Linked DNA regions of Sus scrofa. The protein of the gene in region 3 interacts with the protein of the main gene of each other region in a pairwise test. Links are inferred from orthologs where the notes say so. Each region holds a gene or a part of one and is shown on either strand. Other genes may lie near its edges.

Evidence for each region.
Region 1: the proteins of NFE2L2 (region 3) and TNNT1 interact in binary tests that used the Homo sapiens proteins (3 or more experiments, as listed by UniProt). The two-hybrid records come from large-scale screens. The link is inferred for Sus scrofa from reciprocal best matches to the Homo sapiens genes NFE2L2 and TNNT1.
Region 2: the proteins of NFE2L2 (region 3) and MAFG interact in binary tests that used the Homo sapiens proteins (3 or more experiments, as listed by UniProt). The link is inferred for Sus scrofa from reciprocal best matches to the Homo sapiens genes NFE2L2 and MAFG.

The regions. Positions count from the first base shown.
Region 1 is NC_010448.4:59,360,764-59,364,479, reverse strand, and holds the start of TNNT1 (troponin T, slow skeletal muscle), read left to right. Parts: upstream 1-869; 5' UTR 870-874; coding exon 875-906; intron 907-1,015; coding exon 1,016-1,029; intron 1,030-1,272; coding exon 1,273-1,299; coding exon of another isoform or gene 1,300-1,344; exon of another isoform or gene 1,345-1,549; coding exon 1,550-1,582; exon of another isoform or gene 1,583-2,139; coding exon of another isoform or gene 2,140-2,353; coding exon 2,354-2,375; intron 2,376-3,716. UniProt on the Homo sapiens protein: Troponin T is the tropomyosin-binding subunit of troponin, the thin filament regulatory complex which confers calcium-sensitivity to striated muscle actomyosin ATPase activity.
Region 2 is NC_010454.4:1,067,735-1,071,479, forward strand, and holds the start of MAFG (transcription factor MafG), read left to right. Parts: upstream 1-1,339; 5' UTR 1,340-1,414; intron 1,415-1,758; exon of another isoform or gene 1,759-1,811; intron 1,812-1,861; exon of another isoform or gene 1,862-3,745. UniProt on the Homo sapiens protein: Since they lack a putative transactivation domain, the small Mafs behave as transcriptional repressors when they dimerize among themselves.
Region 3 is NC_010457.5:82,970,721-82,974,365, reverse strand, and holds part of NFE2L2 (nuclear factor erythroid 2-related factor 2), read left to right. Parts: coding exon 1-235; 3' UTR 236-3,645.

The DNA.
Region 1 (3,716 bases), on a different chromosome or scaffold from region 3:
AGGTCTGGGGACAGAAGCTGCTCTTGTGTGTCCTGTCCCCTCCACAGCTGTGGGTGAAGGTGACTGATAACCAGCCAAAGGGGAGGGGACAAGGGTGGCAGAGGGGAGTGGGTATGATGAATTCTCCCAGAACCCCTCCTCCTAGAATACTTTTTAGATGTCCTCTGTGTCACCCTCCACGACATCCCCCCAAAATAGCCCTTGGGGGTGGGGCAGCTATTGTCTTCAGGCCACTGTGTCTTCCCCAAATACCTTCCCCTAATCCCTCCTCAGATCAGGTTCCAAAGGACTTGTCATAAGACAAAAGAGGGCAGCTGTGGTGAGGGGGTGGGGCCTGTGGCTTTGGGGTTGGTGGGGCCATACCTTCCCAAGCCCTGTCTTCATCCGCGGTTTAGGAATCTTTGGGAGTTGAGGGCCCCCAGCTCCTCCTCCCCCAGACCCAGGGGTCCTGTCCCAGCCCCTTCTCCCTCAGACCCAGGGGTCCTGCCCCAGCCCCTTCTCCCTCAGACCCAGGGGTCCTGCCCCAGCCCCTTCTCCCTCAGACCCAGGGGTCCAGCCCCCAGCTCCTCCTCCCTCAGACCCGGGGGTCCAGCCCCAGGCCCCCGGCCTCAGACCCAGGATCCAGCCCCCAGCTCCTCCTCCCTTGGACCCAGGGGTCCAGGTCCCAGCCCCTCCTCCCTCAGACCCTGGAGTCCTGCCCCAGCCCCTCCTCCTCCAGACCCAGGGGTCCAGCCCCAGCCCCCCCCCCCCCCGTCAGACCCAGGATCCAGCCCCCAGCCCCTCGTCCCTCAGACCCGGGCGTCGGGACCCCAGGTCGGGGATCCCGAGTCCCTCGTTTGGACCCCCGTTCTCTGCCTCTCTAGGTCACGCCAGGATGTCTGACGCCGAAGAGCAGGAATATGAGGAGTGAGTGATGCTGGCGGGAGGGCTGGGGGCTCGGAGCGGGGGAGACCCCCTCCGCCTCCGAGGCGCCTAACTCTCCCCCTCCCTCTTTTCTCCCCGCCCGGGTCCTCAGGGAGCAGCCTGAAGGTGAGTGCACTTCGGCCCACCCCGCCCGACCGGCCCGACGCCCATCCTCCTGGGAGGGAAAAGCCCATCGTGCCCGGCGGCCGCTGAGGCTGACGGGTCCCCCCCCCCGCCCCGCCCAGCTGAGACTCGAGCCCGAACCTGGGTCTCTGCCCCCTCACCCACTGGGTCCCCTCTCTGAAAGCCCTTCCACCCCGGGTCCCCCTGGGCCCCTAACCCCTCTTCTCTCTCCCCGACCCCTTCCAGAAGAGGAGGCTGCTGAGGAGGAGGAAGGTGAGGCCCCGGACTCCGCAGGTCTGGAGCTGGACGCAGGTCTGGGGGGGTGGGGGACAGGCGGGTGGGTGGGGGGCCCGCTGGTCCAGGGGTGCAGGCCGGGCGGGGCGCGGGGCTTTCGGGGTTCTCGGCCTCAGTTCCTTTAACAGCCTCTCCCCTCTCTCCCCTCTCTCCCCCCCTGCATCCGGGCCTGGCCGCTCCCCTCCCCTGGCTCCCCAAACCCTCGCTTCTCCTCCTGCCCCCTCCCCAGCCCCCGAGGAGCCAGAGCCGGTGGCAGAGCGAGGTAACCGCGGCTGCTTCGCTTCCTGAGACCAATTGCGGGGTGTCCTCTGGGCCCTGACCTCCACGAGAACTCCCTCCCCGCCCCCATAACCCGCCCCGGACCCGGTCCTTTAAGCCCCGGAGAGCCCGCGCGCCCTCTGGTGGCCACGAAGGGAAATAGCCTCGCAGCGGCTTTAACCCGTTCCCTTCCTTCTTAAAGGGACCGACACCCAAGCCTTCTTCCCCAGACTGGAGGAATACTTATAGAAGGGTTGGATGTTTGCGGAGAGGCACCCCTCCTCCCCTCTCATCTTCGCCTGTTATTTTTCTCCCCCATATACATTCAAAGGTTGGGGCCTGGGTTGCAGAAGGGGGTAGCAGTGGGGGTCTGGATTCCTGTGTCCCCAAGGGGGAGGTGGCTGGGGACACAACTCCAGGGTCCCCGAGTGAACAGAGGGCTTGGGGAGGAGGGCAGGAGCTCTGGGTCTGCAGAAGGAGGGTGGGGGGTTTGGAAGCCTGGTTTCCCAGCGAAGCGAGTGGAGGGGGGGAATCCCCACACCGGTTCTGAATGTATATCTGATGCGTGTGACCCCTCCCTCCCTTTACGGCCACCCCGATTTCCCTTCTCCTCTTTTACCCCCGCCATACCCCTCCCCCAGGGCTGCAGGACAAGGGAACTGGGCCTGGGGACCAAGTCTTGGGGGGGCGAGGAGGGCCCACCTTTGGGTGTGTCGCGTCCTCCCACGCCCACAAACTCTTGCTAATTGTGTCTTTGTATCCCCCCCCCCAACAGAAGAGGAGCGCCCCAAGCCAAGGTGAGATCCTAGGGCTGGGGGTGGGGTCTCTTAGATCTAGCCCCTGCCTTCAGAGACAGGGTGCAAAAAAAGACGGGAGGAGGAGTTCCCGTCGTGGCGCAGTGGTTAATGAATCCGACTAGGAACCATGAGGTGGCAGGTTCCATCCCTGGCCTTGCTCCGTGGGTTAAGGATCCGGCATTGCCGTGAGCTGTGGTGTAGGTCGCAGACACGGCTCGGACCCCGCGTTGCTGTGGCTGTGGTGTAGGCCGGTGGCTACAGCTCCGATTGGACCCCTAGCCTGGGAACCTCCATAGGCCGCAGGAGCAGCCCTAGAAAAGGCAAAAGACAAAAAAGAAAAAAAAAAAAAAAAAAAAAAAGACAGAGGAGAGGGGGAGGGACACCTACGAAAGGACAGTGATTCTGTCCTTCAGCAAACATTTCTGGTGAACTTCCCATGGTATTTGATGAGTCAGAGTGTGGCTGCCCTGCTGGTGAAGCAGACCCAGATACAAAGATGGTAGCACAGAAGAGGCCCTAGCTATGCCCGGTGGCAGTCATGGAGGGCTTCCTGGGGGAGGTGCTGCCCTGAGTCCTGGGAGTTTGCTAATTGAAGGAGGTGGGAGAGATTGTAGTCGAGGAAGCAATGCAGAAGGTGCAAGGTCCAGCGGCCAGATCTCGGCCAGTCTTTGAGGATCCAAGCTCTGCAGACAGGTGGAGGCCAGGCTGTGAGAGCTCCTTGGGAGAGGGAGAGGAGACCTGGAGGTGGGGACCTTGGGGCCAGAGATTGGTGTTGCAATCTGAGCATGAGATGCAGTGGACAGTGGAGTTTCACCACGGCTTGAGGGATGAGGAGGCAGAGTCAGATGGGAGTGAGGACACAGCTGGGCTGCAGCATCAGGAAAGCTCGTTGGAGGCAGGAAGGCCTCAGGTGCGGAGAATGTCAGGCGAAGGCCATTGCAAGCTGAGCACACAGCATGTGCAAAGGCCCGGGGGCGTGAAGCCATGTGGCATGGCCAGAGAACTGTAGAATTTGGTGAGTTTTCAGGGAAGAAGGCCTAAGCCTGGGCAGGGGGCAGGGGGTGGAAAGGGGGCCACAGACGGAGAGATTTCCAGGTTGGGGAGCTCAGCTGGGGCATGGAGCCATCCGTTACCTGGAGTCTGGAGATTGGGAGAGAGTCTGAGCTGGAGACCAGTGTTGGTGAATCCTCAGTAATTGAGGAGAATCCAAGTCACAGATGAATGATATTAATCACTAGCATTTCCTACAAATGAATCAGAGGGTAAAACTCTCACCAGGGGACAAGGAGACAGCGATGAGGGCAGGCAGAGCCTTAGGAAGCCTATCAGAAGAAAGCGTGT
Region 2 (3,745 bases), on a different chromosome or scaffold from region 3:
GCTGGAGGACACACCCTGTCCTCAAGAGCCCAGATGATAAGACCACTACATGCAGCCCTGCCAAGCAAAAGGTGACAGAGTGCTTTGGGATTCAGAGGGAAGCTACTGGAGTCTGGCAGGGAGGGTTTCTGACACCTTGATGCTCCAAGGCTCTAGGGGCCACCTGGGTGGCCTTTGTCGTTCCTTCAGTGGCACTGAATTCCCATAAGGATCCTGCCCTCGTCCCTGGCTCCTCCCTCTTTCAGCTCATCTGATCTCACTGACCTGTCTGGTGGGGGGGGGCGCGACCCTTCCTGACCTCACACCTGAGAAGAGACGTCCAGAATCTGGAAGTAGAATTGGGTCCCTTCAGTTTCCCTTCTTCCTTTCCAGACCTCTTTCTCTGGGGATTTTGAACAGAAGTGAGAAGTCCTTACAGAAAGTGTAGAAACTTTCTGTAAGGGTCCATGGGTCCATGGACGGGGACCTAAGCTCGGGGCAGACGCTGGTGAAACAGAAAGGAAAGGCGCACCCCCTACATCAACTATGAATTCAACAGATGCTTACTGATGCCCACATTCACCGCACCCACTCTGAGCCAGACGGGTTCTAGGAGCCGCCTGAGCCCGGTCCCTCATGTGAGGTCTCGGGATGCTGGGTGAAGACAGACCACACTACTCAGAAGCCTTGGAGGCGGCCTTGAGCTTCGGACAAACCCTTCGCCTCCCTGAGCCTGTGGGTCTCCTGTGAACCAGACAGCTGTTCCTGGCAAGGCTGAGGCCCGCTCCGCAATTACGGAGGCAAGGCATGCAGAGCCTGCCGGGGAGTAACAGAAACACCATGAGGACCTTCTCCATAATGCGTACGGACCTCGGATCCGCAACAGAAAACCGGACACGTGGCCTTTGCAACGTCTGCGCACAAGCCTCAGGAGAGCTTCAGAGGACCACGAGGCCCCGCCTCAAAGGGGGCGTGGCCGGACAGGGAGCGCGCGCCCGGGCCAGTCCCGCGAGACCTCACCCATCGGGCGCGGCGCGCGTTGCCAGGGCGACGGCGCCCGGCGCGCAGGCGCAGTGCCGGCGCGCTCTGCCGCCCGCCGCCGCCGTCGCCGCCGCCGCGCCTTCCCCTTTAAGCCCCAGCCGGTCGCGTCGCCGCTTCATGAATGGAGCCCACGTGACCAAACATCATGTGACGTCTGAGGAGCGGCGGCGGGCGGCGGCGGCGGCGGCGGCGGCCGGCGGCGGCGGCGGCGGCGGCGGATCCCGAGCCCCGAGCCTGGTCCGGCCCGGCCTTCCAAGCGCGCTCGGACCGGCCCGCGCAGGCGGCGAGCCCCTACCCCGGGCCCGGAGCCCCCGCGCGGCCCACTCCCGCGCGGCCTCGGAGTGCCCGCCCCGCCCCGCCCCAGCCTCGGCCCGCCGGGCCCGCAGTGTGGTGGGTGAGTGCGGCGGCGGCCGGGCCGGGGCAGGGCGCGGGGCAGCTGGGGGCTCCGGGCCGAGGGCGGGCTTCCGCGGGGCCTCGGCTCCTTCGGGCGTCCGGGGCGGCGCGGGCCGGACGCTCCGAGCTTCGGCTCTGCCCCGCGCCCTGCTGGCGGCCCGTGCCTCGATTTCCCCACTAGTCAGAAGCGGCTTCCTGCCCTTGCGCCTGGGGTGCTCGGGTGGGCGCGGGGGTGCCCACAGGGGCGGGGCGGGGCTTGCGCGGGCTGGCTTGCTGGGCCGGGGCGTCCTGGAGGGAGGGGCGGCCGGGGTGGCGGGAGGAAAGGGTGGGGTCGATCGGGGAGCCCAGGGCTCCGCGGAAGAGCCTGGCCGTCCCAGCCTGAGCTGCTGATTCATCAGGTGTCTGTGTTAACGCCTCTCGGACGCGGGGGTCCTTGGAGGCCGGGGGGAAGGGGGCGGCACGTGGGGGGTGGCTAGGAAGACCCTCCCCGCGCCGACTTCGCTCTGTCACACTCGTGCCAGAGCCCAGAGGGAGACTTGCTGAGTCATCAGCATGAGGTCACTCGATGCTTGTCCTGATGCCTGGGGGGATTTGAGCGAGGGGCTCGAGAGGCTGGAAGCGAGAGGTGAGAGCTAAACCAGGGAGTGGGAAGGGGCTAGGCCCCAGGCTGGGGTGCCTGCTTAAGTTCGGGCTGATGTGCGTGTTGAAGGTTTGGGGGGTGAGTAAATGGAGGGACCGCTATTCTTATTATTCTGGGGTAGAGGGTGAAGACCCTGGTCCGTCCATCCCCTCCCCGGCAGGCTTTTCTCAGGCTGCTGGTCCCTGACCCGCGTCTGGGACAGTTCCCCAAACTGGGAAATAGTTCTCTGAGTGAGAAGAGGGAGGAGCTTAGGGGGGCTGTGCTTGCGGGCTGGGAAGCCGGCTTTCCTTATGACTGGTCTGGTTGGCCAGGCTGGGCAGCCTCTGGGCGGGGAAGATGGGGAGACAGTGGGAGAAAGAGGGGTGCCTGTACCCGGTTTCTGGGTAACAGTGGACAGGGCAGGGGGCATGTAGGTGCAGCTCTACCAGGAAATTGCCAATGAGAGGAAGCAGCAGGACTTAGACTTCAGGGGAGTTGGTGTCTGGTGAGCAGGCCCTGCCTCTCTTCACAGCCCGCCGTGGGGTCTGGCTCGAGGCTGTGGGTGGCGGTAGCTTGGAGGGCACCCACCTTCAGGGCACTGGACTGGGGTGGACGGCATGGGCTGAAGAATCTCAGTCACCCCGGATTGTTCTGGTTGGGCTCAGGGTTGTGCAGCTTAACAAAGAAGGTGGTCCTGATGGGGTGGTGGTGGGGACTCCTGGGGAGGGAACTCCAGCCTGAGGGTCGTGTGGCCTGAGCCACCTTCCTAAGTGAATGGGTGGTTCCTGGTCTCCAGGGGCGGGGGTGGGAGTGGGGGTCTTTCCTCTAGACCAGAGCTGATCCTTTTGCCCAGGGGTTCAAGGCTAGGTAAGGCTGACCTTGTGCTTTGTCCTCAGGCATTACTTCCGCTCCCCTTCACCCCAGCCCTGGGCATACAGATGCCAGCTGATCTTTTTTTTTTTTTTTTTTTTCCTGGCCACAGCATGCAGTGGCTTGAAGTGGGATCTCAATTCCCAGAAAAGGGATGGAACCCAGGCCGCAGCAGTAAAAGTGCCGAGTGCTAAGCACCAGACCACCAGGGAACTCCCACCAGCTGATCTTTTGGCTGGAGTTTTATGAAAATGCAGATTCCTAGAGTGGTATTTCTTTAAATCTTCTCAGCTACTTGCGTTTGGTGGGAATGAAGTTTGAGACACTTTTCAGAGGGCTTCTGGGGAAATGGGTCCGAAGGGCAGGGTGAGTGTAGCGGGCTGGGGGGGGTGCCAGGATGACCGGGGCCACGCCTGCCGGGGAGGTTTGGCCACTGCGGTTTGTAGGACAGGAGAAGCAGGAGCGAGCTGGCCTCCTGCCCAGTGTCCATGCCCTGGAGTTTGAGCCCAGGGGAGGGGGAGGGGGCCCTCTCTCCTTCCTGGCCGGCTCTCAGCTTGAGTGGCTAGGCCTGGGTACCTTGGTGGGTATGCACTCTGGGGACCACCCCTGCCTCCTCCCCGAAGTGGGCTCAGCCTCTGGGGGAGCAGAGGCAGGAGGAGGGCTGCAGGGAGGCAGCGTCTCCTTGAAACGGCCTCGGGGATCCCCTTCCTCCGGCTTCTAGAGGTGCCCTGAGACCTCGGTCCCAACCCAGGCCCACAGGGTGTCTCGTCCTGGAACTGTGAGGCCCCAGGTAGCGGAGACCAGGCCAGGAGGCCGGAAGGCAGGCCTCGCCGAGACCCCCTC
Region 3 (3,645 bases):
TTTAGATCATTTAAAAGATGAAAAAGAAAAATTGCTCAAAGAAAAAGGAGAAAACGACAAAAGTCTCCATCTACTGAAAAAACAACTCAGCACCTTGTACCTTGAAGTCTTCAGTATGTTACGTGATGAAGATGGAAAGCCTTACTCTCCAAGTGAGTACTCCCTGCAGCAAACAAGAGATGGCAATGTATTCCTTGTTCCCAAAAGTAAGAAGCCAGATGTGAAGAAAAACTAGATTTGGGCATATCTGACCTTTTCTGAGCTAGTGGATTTTTTTTTTTTAATACTAAAAGCTCCTACTGTGATGTGAAATGCAGAAATATACTTTATAAGTAATTCTATGCAAAATTATAGTCAAAACTAGTGTAGAAAATATAAAACTTTGAAAAGCATTAAAATAAGTTATCAGTATGCTGAATCAGTAGTTTCACTTTAATTACAAACTTAATTTCTTAGAACACCATTTGGGCTAGTTTCTGTATACGTGTAAATACTACAAAATCTTATTTATACTATTCTTATCTCATTTGTTACGTTCAGATTTATACGATACAACATCTGGCTAAAAGCAAATTGTTGCAAAACTAACCACTATGTACTTTTTTATAAATACCATATGAACAAAAATGGCATTTTTTTATATTAAATTGTTTAGCTCTGGCAAAAAACAATTTAGTTGAAAAGTTGGTACTAATAAAGAATATGACTCTTAAAGTGTTTCTCTGAAATTCATTTGCATTTATTCATAGTATCTTCTGTGACAATATGAAAAGCATGCTAAAATGGCAGAGAGTATCAAAAAGATTTCCTCTTTAGCAGTAGGTACAAGTGAAGCAAGAAAAAATAAAAAATGACATACATATAGCATGCACCCAGGTGGCAACATTTGGAAAGTGTGGGAAACCCATTCTATTAGCAAAGATGGAACACAGGAAAGTCTAAAGGTTCTAGGAGTCTATTTGAGAAAGAATAACTATATGGTTGACCGTAGAGGGAGAAAAAAAGGTGGGTCAGTAGAATAGGACATGGCAAAGATCCTTGCTAAGCCTTTAAGAACTTTGGCTTTTACCTAGTGGGGAGCTTCTGGAGGTGTTAGGAGTAACATCTGCGTTAAAAGCTTCCTCTGCCTTGGTGTTGGCAGTAGTCTAAAGGGTAATGGTAGGAGCTGGAGACCAATGGGGAGACTGAAATATTAACATGGGACGTGGTGTCCTGGTTTAGAGTGATAGCAGTAGTGAGAAAGCATTGGATTCTGCATTGTTTTAAAGACAGAACTAAAAGGATTTTCCAACAGATGGATTCAGGGTGAAGGCAGACTCAAGGCTATGGTTCGAAGGTCTAGGTGGGCAAATTAGTTCACTTTGGGACATAGCCAGTGATAAACATGTAAATACCAGGTCCATTTAGAATAAGCACCATGTGCTAACTATTCACTTGAAAGTCCTATCAACCGGTTAGGACCAAAACACTGCACATACCCTAGAGCCAGATCGCCTAGGCTGCTGCAGTTTTCCTAGAACCACCTCCAGTGAGGCAAAGCACTCAGGCTGCTTCCTTATCTGTAAAGCAGGGATAAGTGCTGTTAAGCACTCTATAAATTGGGCATTTTCTTTAGTCCTGTATCAGCATGCCCTTTGGTTGATGGTGAAAGAAAGAATTTGACTCAGCTGGCTGGAAAGCTCAGGCTTGAAGGCAACTTCATGGACTAATGGAACAAGGCATTCAAACGCAGATTATGCTGTGGCCTGTCTGGATCAAAACATCCTATAGTGGTGGTGACGACATCCCTGGAAGAAACTAAACTTTTCCTATCTCAGAAAACTCTCTTGAATAAAGTGCCCTTAAACAAAATTAGGGGTGGAGATTGGGAGCAAAGGCAACAATCTGTTACCACCCCCTACCTGGAATTAACTGGCACCTACTACACAGGGGGAGAACACTGGGCAGACCAGATCTTCTAGCACAACAGCAAATTCCTTCACTGTTGGTGCATTTAGATTTCAAAATGAGTTCCAAGACAAAACGCCATAGAGCCTTTCAATATCTAAATATCACTTTCAAATACTAAACATAGAGAATTAGGCAGAACTAAATTTTAAATATAACAAATCCTAACAACTTCCCTATGACTAAAGTAGATTTGTTTTTGCTTTTGAGGGCCACACCTAAGGCATGTGAAAGTTCCCAAGCTAGATGTTAAATCACAGCTACAGCCACCCGGGATCCGATCCCTGTCTCCAACCTACAGCACAGTTCATGGCAACACCAGGGATTGGACGTGTTTCCTTATGGACACTAGTTGGATTTGTTTCCATCACACAAGGGGAACTCTCAATTTAATTTCTCCATCTGAATGTGCAATACACTTATACCTGCCTCCTCAGATTAAATTTGGCTATGCAATTGTTAAGCCTTATTGAACTCAAGTTTCTAGTTTTAAAATGGGCACCTGTGCCTGCTGGATTGAGATATATCAAGCATTCTATTAGAAATCTTAATATAGCATGCTAGTGCATGTTACATTAAAAATGTTCTTGCTAGGACTTATTCTATAGCCTATGGAGAGGCTGCTCAACTGCATCCCTGCTATGGCTCAGTGGTAACGAACCCGACTAACATCCATGAGGATGTGGGTTTGATCCCTGGCCTCACTCAGTGGGCTAAGGATCCGGCATTGCCGTGACCTGTGGGGAAGGTCGGAAGATGTACCTTGGATCCCACATTGCTATGGCTGTGGTGTAGGCTGGCAGCTGCAGCTCCAATTGGGCCCCTAGCCTGGGAATATGCTGCAGGTATGGCCCTAAAAGGTGGTGGTGGTGGGGATAAAAATGTACCTGATATTACTTCCCATACCCATTCTTGTTTTTAAATCTTATAACTGATACAAAGTAATTCTAATTCTTATTTTAAAAATATTTACCAGGCCAGTTTCCACTTTTTGAAGAAAACTTAAAAGACTGTAAGAACCTTAATGCTACATGGAGGGAAAAAACCCTCACATTGGCATTAACTTCACTGTCACTCATTAAAGTTGAGAAATACTATCTCCTTAAGCACCATGGACCAGGCACCAGTATAAGCTCTTTAAACCTGTTATTTGAGTTTCCTTGTGGCACAGTAGGTTAAGGATCCTACAAGTCACCGCAGCGACCAAGGTCAATGTTGTGGCATGCGTTTGATCCCTGGCCTGCGAACTTTCATGTCACGGGTACAGCCAAGAAAAAAACAAAACCCATCATCATATTTAACCTTCAGACTTACCGAGGTCAAGCTATTAGCTCTTTTGCAAAAACAAACTATGTGAATACAAGAATTCTGAATCTTGACAATAGCTTGATCAGCAAAAATTCCTTCTTTCACTAACATTTAATGAAATTAAACATCTCCTTCAATGTTTACAAGCAACAAAATACAACGGTATTTGCAGTACCTCTGATTTTGTCATTAGTTAAAAAATCCTAATTTTCTAAGTTCCCTTCCCTGCTGCGGTGCAGATTTGATCCCTGGCCCAGGAACTTCCATGTGCCATGGGTGTGACAAAACAAAACAGATACTGTGAAGTATCTCAAAACACTTATAATCACAACTTCAAAATTTTAAGTCAGACCCACCACTAGCCTTATCTGATGTTTTTATATTACTGAG